3 linked regions of the Mus musculus genome follow. The protein of the gene in region 1 binds, or shares a complex with, the protein of each later gene. Links are inferred from orthologs where the notes say so. Each region holds a gene or a part of one and is shown in the gene's direction. Other genes may lie near its edges.

The links.
Region 2: Snrpf (region 1) and Snrpe share a complex: the UniProt entries of both Homo sapiens proteins name them as parts of the U7 snRNP complex. The link is inferred for Mus musculus from reciprocal best matches to the Homo sapiens genes SNRPF and SNRPE.
Region 3: Snrpf (region 1) and Snip1 share a complex: the UniProt entries of both Homo sapiens proteins name them as parts of the minor spliceosome. The link is inferred for Mus musculus from reciprocal best matches to the Homo sapiens genes SNRPF and SNIP1.

The regions. Positions count from the first base shown.
Region 1 is NC_000076.6:93,582,335-93,586,997, reverse strand, and holds the end of Snrpf (small nuclear ribonucleoprotein F), read left to right. Parts: intron 1-2,670; exon of another isoform or gene 2,671-2,903; coding exon 2,904-2,968; exon of another isoform or gene 2,969-3,467; coding exon 3,468-3,534; 3' UTR 3,535-3,969; downstream 3,970-4,663. Other genes in the region: Ccdc38 (coiled-coil domain-containing protein 38), read right to left, coding at 4,443-4,556. UniProt on the Homo sapiens protein: Plays a role in pre-mRNA splicing as a core component of the spliceosomal U1, U2, U4 and U5 small nuclear ribonucleoproteins (snRNPs), the building blocks of the spliceosome.
Region 2 is NC_000067.6:133,602,967-133,607,409, reverse strand, and holds the end of Snrpe (small nuclear ribonucleoprotein E), read left to right. Parts: intron 1-830; coding exon 831-909; intron 910-3,333; coding exon 3,334-3,389; 3' UTR 3,390-3,539; downstream 3,540-4,443. UniProt on the Homo sapiens protein: Plays a role in pre-mRNA splicing as a core component of the spliceosomal U1, U2, U4 and U5 small nuclear ribonucleoproteins (snRNPs), the building blocks of the spliceosome.
Region 3 is NC_000070.6:125,071,979-125,074,947, forward strand, and holds the end of Snip1 (smad nuclear-interacting protein 1), read left to right. Parts: intron 1-687; coding exon 688-952; 3' UTR 953-2,065; downstream 2,066-2,969. UniProt on the Homo sapiens protein: Required for pre-mRNA splicing as component of the spliceosome. As a component of the minor spliceosome, involved in the splicing of U12-type introns in pre-mRNAs. Down-regulates NF-kappa-B signaling by competing with RELA for CREBBP/EP300 binding.

The DNA.
Region 1 (4,663 bases):
ACATGCTGACCAGCAGTCTGCCACTAAGCTACATTCTCAACCTGTTCATTCATTTTGATTTCTAGTTTTTAATTTTATTTTATGGATGTCTTGTCAGTGTACTATGTATATGCCTGCTGCCCATCAAAGTCAGACAAGGGCATCCGTCAGCACTCTAGAACTGCAGTTATGGATGCCGTGGGCACCATGCGGATGCTGGGAATTGAACCCAGGTCTTCTGGAAAAGCTGCCAGTGCTCTTAACCTCTGGCCAACTCTCCAGCCTCAAACAAGCATTTTTCCAAGTCTACTTTTAACTCTTTGGAGTATATACACAAGTCGGATTACTGGTTCGTTGTTTTTGAGTAGATGTCATATTGTTTTTCATAGCAGCTGTGTGGTTTTGATTCCTTCAGATGGTACCCAAGAGTTACAGTTTTCCACATCTGCACTAACACTTGTTTTCTACGAGGTTCCTCTTTTTAATGTATAAATATTATTCTCCTGATCTGAAATAGTATCTCCTCTTGGCTTGCATTTCCCCAATGACATTGGGCACCTTTTCATGTGTGTATTAACCATGTGCTTTCATCTTTGGAGAAATATGTTACTCACATCCTCTATTTATTTATTTACTTGTATTTTTTAAGACAAGGTACTCACATCCTCTATTTATTTATTTACTTGTATTTTTTAAGACAAGGTCTCATTATGTAGCCCTGGCTGGCCTGTATCATGCTATGTAGTCCAGGCTGGCCTAACTCAGAGATCTGCCTGCCTCTGCCTCCTGGGTGGTAGGATTAAAGGCATGTGCCACTTTGTCTGTTTTTAATTTTTTTGTGTGTTTAATTGTAGTTTCTGCCCAGATTTTAAAGGTTACTTAGGTGGATATATTAACTAGAAATCCAGCTAACAAGAATATGGAGAGATTTGGTCTGGAAAATTCTTGAAACGAGTTATTTACAAAAGCTGTAGAAAAGTCTGGAAAGTATGCCTGTAGTGGTGAATATAGTGTGGGATTAGAAATGAGAGTTCAATGTTATGAATACACTGAAAACCCCAGAATGTTTTGTTTCATCCCTGTCACTTGGTGTGATTCTGTGAAAAAAAGCCTGTGATTCTGTCATTCCTGGGATAGAAGCAGGAGGATTAGAAATTAAAACATCATCCCCATTTCACAGGAAGTTGCAGGCCAACCTGGAATACATGAAACCCTGTTGAAACAAATGAACCACCTAATAGTTGATCTTGCAGTTAATGTAGTGTCCCGAGGTATAAAATGTATCTCTGAGCGAGCCCGGTTTCTGAGTTGCTTCAGTTAGCCAAAAGGTATTGGTTGTCTGTTTGGTACCATGAATATAACAGTGAGCAAAACAAAGTCCATATCCTTGAGCTTGTTCCAGTGGTGGGAGATGGTTGTGGACCACAGATGCGTAGGAGTGATCCACAGCATGGCGGTAAAGCAAAACCAGGGTTATGAGTGTGCAGTACTGAACAGCCTCGCCTCCAAAGAGACCTTTGGCATCTGGGACAAAATCATATCTGTTGGAAGGAGCAGCAGATGCAAAGCTTCTGTCCACGGGGATTGGGGGGGGGGTACTAGGGTGTTTGAGGTACAGACAAAAGGCCAGAGTAGAAGGTGGGATGGCAGTCACTGAAAGCCTTTCAACAGTAGTGAGGCTTTTGAATTTAGTAAGCTCTAAACTTTGGGTCATTAGTATAGATACAACTTAGAAGCCATTTAAGTGTTAGGGAAATGTCAAAAATAATTAATCCATGTGTACCATTAATCTCAGCAGTTATGAGCAGAGGCCGGTTAATCTCTGAGCACAAGGCCAGCCTGGTCTACAGAGTGAGTTCTAGGACAGTCAGAGCTACACAGAGAAACCCTTTCTCAAAAACATAAATATCTACATACACACACAATTACATTCCTTCTGATAGGAGTTATATACAAAATCATCTCACAAACATTTGTTCTAGTGACAACATGTTCTCTGGTTGCTTTGTTTTCCTACAGAGAAACAGCTTGCATGTCTTAAATGCTTTATGCCAGCCACATCTACCTATGTCCACTGCCTGCTTATGAAAGACGCTTCCTTCTCTTCTCTTGTTCTGCCTTTGGTGACCCCATATAGCACTGGTGGATATTTTTTTTTTTTAATTGTAAGAATGATAGCTAAAGCCGGGTGTGTTGGCGCACGCCTTTAATCCCAGCACTCGGGAGGCAGTGAGTTCCAGGACAGCGAGGGCTATACAGAGAAACCCTGTCTCGAATCCCCCCCACCCTAACTAACTAAATAATATAACTAAATAATTAGTTTATTTTAGCTGCTGAAATAGCTAAAGATTTTTCATTTAAAATTAGAATAGAATTTGCAAAAGTAACCCTAAAGATCATTCTTGATTTACACACCCCCACCCCTCCACCCCCATCCCCATTGAGTACATGAGATTTTAAAAATCTTAACTTTTTTTGGTTTGGTTGTTGGCTAATATATTTTAGCCATAGCTTTTGTACACCCATTTGAACAAGTTAATATGATTCATAATGTTTTACTCTAAGAAAAGTTAATGTCTGGTTCTTTGGAGCTGAATTTTCAGAAAATTTTAAGAATTATAACTTACTCAAATAAGCTTTCTTCTTTGAGACACTTTAATAGCAGATAGAAATAACATCTAGAAGGCTTAATAACTTTGAAACGAGCTTTATTATCCATGAGTTCTATACCCATGCATGTCTTAATGAATATATGAAATCCAAAGCTACAAGAGTGATGGGAAGATAATCTTAGAGCTACTGTTTATGGATCCAGTGTGAGTTGTTGGTGTGGAGGAGTCTCAGTCACTGGGTCCTCACCGAGTAGGCATGCTGCACTCTTCCCTCCCGTGCAGCTATACTAATACCTTTCTTTTTGTCTAAAGCTTGCAAATACAGAAGAGTACATAGATGGGGCGCTGTCTGGACATCTGGGCGAAGTTCTAATAAGGTAACAGACTTATTTGTGTGTATGAAAGGAGTTCTAACTAACCTCAGAAATACCTGCTGAAATATATTAGTCCTATTAAACATTAAACAGGAAGTACTCTACAACTAGATCTCAGAAGCTTGTGAAATCACTAACATGTTGGAAGATTTCAGTTTATATTTGAGATTTTCCTACTCTTGATTTACATCTCCTGGCTCCAGCTGTAACCTGTATCAGTGTCCTGGGTTACAGGGATTTAAATTTGAATTTTAGTTGAGTCTGGCTGCTAAGGATTTCTGTTGTACTCACTGTCTGGTATCAGCAACTACCTACATTCTAAGTCGTAGAGATGAAGTGTGATGATGGTAAAAATGTGTGGTGTGTCTTTACTACACCTATACAGGACTAACAGGACAAGTGGCAAGCTGTGAGTTCAGTGTCCAGTCTGATGATGGGGCACTGAGGATTGATCTTGTGTGGGTTCTGAGTGCAGCTCACAATGGACTGTTTTCTGTTACAGGTGTAATAATGTCCTCTACATCAGAGGCGTTGAAGAAGAAGAGGAAGATGGGGAAATGAGAGAATAGCATCTTGGATTTTTTTTTTTATATATATATGTATTTCTATACAATAAAGATTTGGGGTTCTTTTTTTTCAACTTGACTTGTGGACTATTTAATGCAAAGCGCAAATGTTGAAACAATGGATGGATAATTCTTAGAACTAAAGTTTTAAAAGCCTCTCAGTTTTATTCAAGGGACTCTTTTTTTTTTTTTGTAATCCCACCGCTGGTTTAACTGAGACCTCATAAAAGCAGCAGTGTTGTTTAAGGTTTCCAAACCACTTGTAACATCCATAAAGTTAAACATTTTCTTAGTATTAATATATATTGTATTAATAAATCATTATTTCTATATTGACATAGACTAAATAATGTATATTATAGCTAAGTCAAAACATGAAAATTGAAATAATTATGGAGATAAAATACAATACAAATTGATATTTAGGCTGAAGATGTATGATTTTGTTCACTTGAAAGTTTTCTGATAAGGTTTTCAGAGCTTAATGTGAAAGAAAACCAGCCCCATGATTGTTCTGAGACCGTAGTCTATTAGTTTTTAAGCTTTAAACCTGTCCAGTTGTTTTAAGAATAATACATTTTAAAAATGTATATTCAAAGCTGTAAACTTCCTTATTGCTTTAGAAAATATTAAAATTCTCATGCTTTGAGGAAGGCCATTCTATTGTTACATCAATAAATTGACTTTGGATACATGTCTCCAACAGGGACAACCTAAAGTAAGTATTGCTTAGCTCATGGCCTGTACTAGTGAACAATAGAGTTGCAGCAGAAAATAGTTGCTGTTCCTAGTCCTGTAAACTTCCAGCTAAAGGTCTGCTGCGGCCCTGGAATTTGCTAGGGCAGTATTGCATCACTGAAAGCCAACATCCACATAAAACATTCGCTAAGAAAGTATCCTCGTGATCCCGTTCAACTAAAAAAGTACTCTTCGTCCTGTGATTTTGATCTTGTATCACTGACTAAAAGGAGCTCTTGTTTGTCTGCAGATTGAGGTTTCGAACGGTAGATAAGTCGTCTTCCCAACTGAAACGAGAAAAAAAAATAATCCTCCTTAGCGTAACGTTTCTTTCAATATGTATGTCAATATTTACTTGAATTTTCACATGAACCAAAGGTTTGAACTAAATACA
Region 2 (4,443 bases), on another chromosome or scaffold:
AATACTCTCTTAGGAGTTGGTAAACAAGCACAGTAGTTAGTGGGAGTCGTGTTAGTGAGGAACATGGGTGTGCAGTGACAGAAGGCAATTCATGTGTGCACATGCCGAATTGGGTAGTGTCCAGCAGGCATTCCTGGCGAATATTTACCTCTAAGGGATTGAAGTACTTTGGATCTCATTCTAGCTTTCTTTGCTATTTAAAAAGAGGTAGGCTGGGGATGCAGCTCAGTAGTAAACCTCTTGCCTAATGGGTAGAAGTCGGTGCGCTAATCCTCAACACCATCTCTGCCCCCAAAAAGGAATGAAAATGCCCCCACGCATTGGGCATGTCACATATGACCAGGCATGGTGGCACATACCTGTAGTCTCAACACTTGGAATAGAGAGGATAGGAGATTTGTGAGTTTAAGGCTTTCCTTGGCTGTGTGGGAAGTTTAGGGCAAACATAGGCCACATAAGACGCTGTCTCAGAAGTAAGGGGCTCAACAGGTAAAAGTATTTACTATTCTTGCAGAGGACCAAGTTCAGTTCAAAGTATATACCTTTGATGGATCACAACTGCCTGTACTTCTGGCAGGTGGATCTAGTGCCTCTGCCCTCCTTAAGCACCTGTCCTAATGTGCACGCATCGATCCAAAAATAAATACATACAGGTAACACTTTAAAAGAATACAAAGTAGTTAATAAGTAAGTAGAGGCTGTAGGTGTTTGTGTTGAAAAATCAGTGATAGCATAAAATTCTAAAATTTGTTGATATTTCTGAATCTAATTATTCTTTTAGAATGGTCGGATGTGATTTGCTTAAAAATGATTGTCATTTGCCTTCCCAGGGCTTTGATGAGTACATGAACCTCGTATTAGATGATGCAGAAGAGATTCATTCTAAAACAAAGTCAAGAAAACAACTGGGTAAGGAGATAGTTGGCTTTACAGATTTCTGTTTATTTCACTGGCAGACTTGAATGGCCTATAGCTGAAAATTCATGCTATAAAGTTACATTTGAAGGGAGAAGCACACTTCTGAATTCATCTTCCTGCCACTTACTCTGTTACCCACTCCTTTGTTTTGTTCATTGATAGGGTCTCAGGTAGCCCAGGCTACTCTCAGTCTTGCTGAGAGTGACAGATTGAACTCCTGGCCTTCCTGCCTCCCCCTCCCAAGTGCTGGGATCATAGACATTCGCAACCATGCCTTGCCAAGGATGTTAAATCTGATGTCGTTTTTTGTGTTCACTTATATTTAACATTAAGTAGAATTTGACACAGTTCAATACTTCCTTGCAATACTTTGATATCTTGGGTTTGTGACATAGTATGTCAGTTTTTATTCAACTCTGGCTGTTTTTTTTTTTTTTTCCAGACTTCTTTATATTCATCCTTTTTTACCCGGCCATTAAGTATTTGAGGCTGGGTTCCAGCTCGCCCTTCACAGTCTTTCCCTAGGCCAGCAGTTCTCATTCTGTAGGTTATGACCCTTTTGAGAGTTGAACGATATTTCACAGTGGTCTCCTAAGACCATCAGAAAACACAGACATTTACAATATGATTCATAATAGTAGCAGAATTACAGTTATAAATTAGCAATAAAAACAATTTTATTGTTGAGGGTCCGCACAACTTGAGGAACTGTTATTAAGGGGCTGCAGCGCTAGGAAGGTTGAGAGGCTCTGTTCTAGGCTTCTAGTGTTCAGTGAGATCACAGCTCCAGGTACTAATCTGGGCATTGACTTCCTTATTTATGTGTATAGCCCAAACCTCTTCTGAACCTGTTTAACTTTCCACATAGAAGGTTTTTAAGGCAGCCTGTCAGAAGCCAACTTCACTGCCTGCTTACACTGTTCAGCGTGGGTTTGCTGATCACTTCCTAACGGAACAGTAGTTTCCACTAACTTACTAACTTTTGTAGCTCCCTCATCCATTTGAAGTTGCTCTCCAGATGTAGCCATCTTTTTGAAACACTGGGTCTGACCTTACCAGCTTTTGCTTGAAATTTTCCATTGTCTGTTTTTCCTGAGGGGACAGTGTGATGTTTTGGCAAGAGCCTTCTTATCTGGCCTGATGTTCGCTCATCTTGATTCACACTGTCCCATTTTCTGAGCAGTCTCCATGCTTGTCTCCTTTCAGTTTGTTTTTTGTTTTGGAGGGTTTTGGGCTGGATTTTTGTTTTTTGGGGGGAGGGGGGCTGGTTGGTTGGTTTGGGGGTTTCTCTGTAGTCTTGGCTGTCCTGGAACTCTCTGTAGACCAGGCTGGCCTCAAACTCACAGAGCTCACTGCTTCCTGGAGTGCTGGGATTAAAGCTGTGTGCCCCCATTGCCCAGCTCTTCTTTCAATTCCTTAAGCCTGCACATTGGCCTCACTTTCTGTTTGAGGTAGGATCTTCCTGTTTAGCCCAGGCTGGCCTTAACTCTGAGATCCTTGCTTCATTTTCTAAATGGCAGTGTTAACACAATTATCACGCCATGGTTATTACACTTGACTCCATCAAATATTGCTACGTGTATTGTTCACTGATCAAACTTTCTCTAGGAAACCCAAATTTAATTTAGTTTTTCTGGGATGGGAGAACACAAGATGTGATATGTTGACTCTGTAGTGAATCATTTATTTTATCGTTGCCTCTTTGTTAGACTGCATGCTCCCTGAGTGCATGAGTCATGTCCTCTCTGCTTCCAATGACCACCGTAGTGCTTCACATAAACTCAGAAAGCCCAGGGAACAAGAGGACCCATGGTCTCATTAAGAGATACTTTACTGAGGTTAGGTTATCTTTTGTTAGAATAGTCAGTGCTCACGTGCGTTTATTAGTGATGGAGTTCAGGTATCTCTTTCCCAAACCCTACTGACCAAAGCTAGATAGGTGGAAGGTAGATTCTAAGAAATGACTCTGTTTTTATTTGCTTTTGAGGTGCTCTACCTCTATAACCCAGGCTGTCCGATCTTACCTTAGCCTTCCAGTACTGGGACTGCAGGTGTGCACTGTCTCACGCAGCAAGAACTCAGGCTACTGCAGATGGAATTGAAATGTATACTTGACAAACACTCATTTCTAAACCCTCATGAACTTAGTATTGGGAGATGCTGTATTGGGCCTTTTCACTTGACCTAGACTATAGGAACTATGTTTCATTAAAACAGCGCTGTTTCGTTCTGTTACTGAAAGCCCAGTAGACCTGGTGGAAGCCTTCAATATGGACGATTGAAAATGTTCACATAGCGTTATGAGAGAGAGAAGTGCCTCAGTACTATTCAGAGCCAAACTCTGAGGCTGAAAGATAAGTAAATGTCTCTCTCTGATTAGTCACAGCTTTTGTAACACTTTTTTTGTTGTTACAGGTCGGATCATGCTAAAAGGAGATAATATTACTCTGCTCCAAAGTGTTTCCAACTAGCAGTGAATGGTGAAGTCTGTAGGATGTTGAGAAGACCCCTTGAGCGTGTTTAAAGATGTCTGCTGCAACCTGCATTTACTCAACTTGTTTTACTTGCACATTATTATTAGGTGACAATAAATGCTGTAGGAAGTTTTTGTTAAAATTTTACATTGTTTCATTCTGGTGGCAAAATGCTTTTACCTAGGGTCGGTATTTAAGGTTTCTGAGGGCTTCCAGTCCCCCTTGACATTTGCTTTTCTCGGAGCATGGATCTGTACGTTCTTGAGGCAGATTAAGAATTCTGCCTGCACAGGTAAGCTGCTAAGGTTGGTGGAAAAGGCTGGGGGGGAGGGGGTAATTGAAAATAAACAAGTTTTGTTTTTTACTAGTGATGTACTCATCAGTTCTAAGTGCTTGTCTGTCACACGTGAGGCCCTGTTAGATCCCCAGTGTTACAGAACAAAAACCCACCGCTGACTTCTGAGTACTGCGACACCAGCACTTGTAAGTGCAGGAGGTTGCAAACATGCTTGTAGTTCTGTTTGCTTAGCAATTACTGAGACACTGAAGAATTGAGAATCTTATCACTAAGATGAGAATGTGGAAAGCAGGTATGGTGTCCTGTGCCTGTAACCCAGCAGGAGATTGAAGAGGGTGGAGTGAAGGACAAGGTCTGTCCAGGCTAGATAGCAAGAGTGGCTCAAGAGCGGACTAGGAGGGAGGGTAGAGTGAGATACCTTTAAAGTACAAGTCAGATAAATGTAAAAAACTAATAGGAAGCTCTTGGGAATCTTAGTTTGGGAAAGACCACAAACACCTGGTAAATTAGTCGTTAGGTAAAATAGTAGCATACTGAAAAGACTTACTTGTTCTCATCTGTAAAGATTTAGGTTCCTTCCCAAATGATAATGCTAATTTGTTTGGCCTGCGGAATGTCTCAGTGGGTAAACATTTTCAAGCATGAGGACTGGAGTTAGCACCCCAGAACCTAATGACAGTTGGGTGCCTTGTGGTCTGCCTGTAATACCAGTCCTTAGGAGGTAGAAATGGAACCTGGAAACACCATCTGCAA
Region 3 (2,969 bases), on another chromosome or scaffold:
TAAGTGTAGGTTATATACCATGACCCCACCTCTAAATAAATAAATAAATAGATGAAAGGAAGAAAAAGAAAAGATTCCTGCCATGGTCTTGACCTGTTTCCACCTGCCCCTAGGGCTTTATGAGGACCAAATAGAAATAAAAGCCAGAGTCAGAATGCCAGATATACCTATGCTAGCTGAACCTGCTGCTTGGGAATACATCTTTACCGTTTGGTACTTCCCCTGTGAGGAAAGCAGGGCCAATGGTACCATCCTTTAACAGGTGAGAAACCACGGCTCACACAGGCCCTGTTTGCAGTAAGCCATCTTCAGAGCACAACTGTCCACATCTAGTCCTTGGCTCTCAAGTCTTAATTCTGTTTTTTCCTCATTCGGGCTGGTGCTAAAATACATAAAATACAACATTGGAGAAAGTCTATGTGTAACCATAGCAAGAAGCCTTCTGCACTGGGGCCTTATGGCCCTCCATTCCCGGCCACAGCCTCAGCCTACCTTTCTCCTAGGTTATGTAAAGTGCTCTGAATTTCCCCATCAGGGCAGTACTTCCCCGTGACATTCCAGAATTTTCATTTGAATCCTGTTCAAGCCAAGTCATTGCCATTTAGATCTGTAGCATAGAGCTTTAGAAAAGAAGGCAGGTGGTCTCAGGTAGGATGCTCACATGCTTCTCTCCTTGGTCTCTCCTAGGCTTGTGGAGTACACCCGTGCTGACGGCACGGTTGGTCGGAGGGTGAAGCCCTACATTATCGACCTTGGCTCAGGCAATGGAACATTCTTGAACAACAAGCGTATTGAGCCACAGAGATATTATGAACTGAAAGAAAAAGACGTACTTAAATTTGGGTTCAGTAGCAGAGAATATGTCTTGCTTCATGAGTCTTCAGACACCTCTGAACTTGACAGGAAGGAAGATGAAGATGATGAGGAGGAAGAAATGGTATCTGACAGCTAGCAGCTGAGAGGCAGCCTCTACTGTTAGAAACCGTCCCTACCGGAGGCTGTGGTGGTCACTCCAGCGCCTCTTCTTGCCTTAAGTCTTTTCTCTGTTGCTGCCCAGCCTATGTTGCAGTATGAGAACTGTCACTTCATGTTTTCTTGAAGTTGGCACAGCAGCTGCCTGCTTGTGGGCCCTTGTTTTCTGAACAGTCTCACCAATTACAGCATGTCGAGTCTGGTCAGAGCGTGTGGTGGGCACCTTCAGAACTGCTGCATAGCAAACTGCCCTTGGAAAGGGGATGGTGGCTTCTTCTCTTTGTACAGTTTCCTATTTATATAGCTGTTGAGCTTTGTGGACCAGGAGTTTTGTTTTGGGGACAAATCCTAGAGTAGAGAATCTTAGTCAGCTTTGGTTGTCACCAAAACAGCCTCCAGCCTATACCAAAGCTTTGACCTGATTCAGCTCTTGAGTCATAGAAGTTGATTTTGCACTTCGTTTTGGGGGTGACAGTTTACCACGTGACTTCTCTATTGGCTGTCTTCGATAAACAGACACTCTGTGCGATGTCTGTGTGACAAGACTGTAGGGAGGTCGTGGCTTCTACCAACAGGAGCTGCTGTCATACTGTGCACTGGTCTGTAGATCTGCACCCTGAGGATTCCTGATTTCTTCATGAAGCAGACATCATAGTTTGATCATCTGGTCTTTTTCTTTAGCTTTGAATTTTTATTCAAATGTCGCCTCTCTTCTCCCTTTGAGAAACACCACACTGACTTTGTAGGAGGGGCCTTGCTGTGGCCTAGGGATGTGTGTATGTGTCTAAACGAGGTTGTGTAGCTTCCACACTTCCAGTTCATCTTTGACCATGTGTTCATATTTTCCTCCCACGGGTGGAAAGTAAGAGACAGCCGAGTGTCTGAACTTCCCACCTGGGATCTGTGAGTAGAAAGATACTCCTTACTGACAGTCTGTGTGCTTCAGAGCTATGTGCTGGGTTTCATATGTCAGTGTTTTGCGATATAAATAATACCACATGATAGGCAAAGGCCTGTCTGCATTTGGAGAGCAGGTTTTCATTTATATGTATTTTTGAGATTAAAAAAATAAAATTTGTAAATATAGCCTCATTTTAGAGGGTATTACTTTTCTCACATAAATGACTTGTTCATAGGTGTGTTTGCTTCTAAAGGAATCTTTATAAACTGTTCTGAGGTAAAAGTACTGTGTGTGTAGAGAATTGTAGGGAGAGGCCTGAAGTACTGAGGACAGAAATCGCTTATCTCAGCAAGGAGGGCGTGGGGCATGAGCTGTCAGGGAAGGATTTGTGTCAGTGCTCTACATTTGGTGACCACTCTGTCCCCGGGTAGAGATGATAGCAATCCTCCTGGGCTGCTCTTAACTTCCTCCTGGGCTGGGATTTAGGATGCTGCGGAGTAGACTGTCTTGTTTGTACAGTCAGGGTCTCACTTGTTCTCAGGGCTAGAGGCTGGCTAACACAGGAGGGTCAGCTCAGGAACGTGTTAGGAAGAGACTTACACAGTCCCTACGGTGTGCAGGGTCAGCCCAGGAACGTGTTAGGAAGAAAAGCACAGTGTATCTTGGATATTTTTCTTAATTCAGACACCATTTTCTGCCCGAGAATCCACAATAACCTGCTACCCTACTTCAGTGCCTTCTTTCCCAGGGATAGTTTGTGGATTTGCTTTCTCGATGAGCACTGTGCAAGGTGACCACTTTACCTACATTTTTTTTGTAAAGAGGTTCCAGGAACCAGAAGTGGCGACTCATGCCTATAGCCATGAGCTTGGAGAGGCTGAATTCAGCAAGAGGATTGGTGTAGATGTTAGGGCGTGTGGAATGTGAGGCAGCCTGGTCTACCTAGGAAAACTTTAATCTCAATAGAAATGTCCCAGTTGTTCTGATAGCAAACATTTGCCTTAGTGGAGCGCTGGCGTCCCAGGTTAAGAGCTTCATGTTAAGTCATGCGAGATGTCTTTTCTTAGAGACTTGTTCATCTTAACTATTTGCAAGG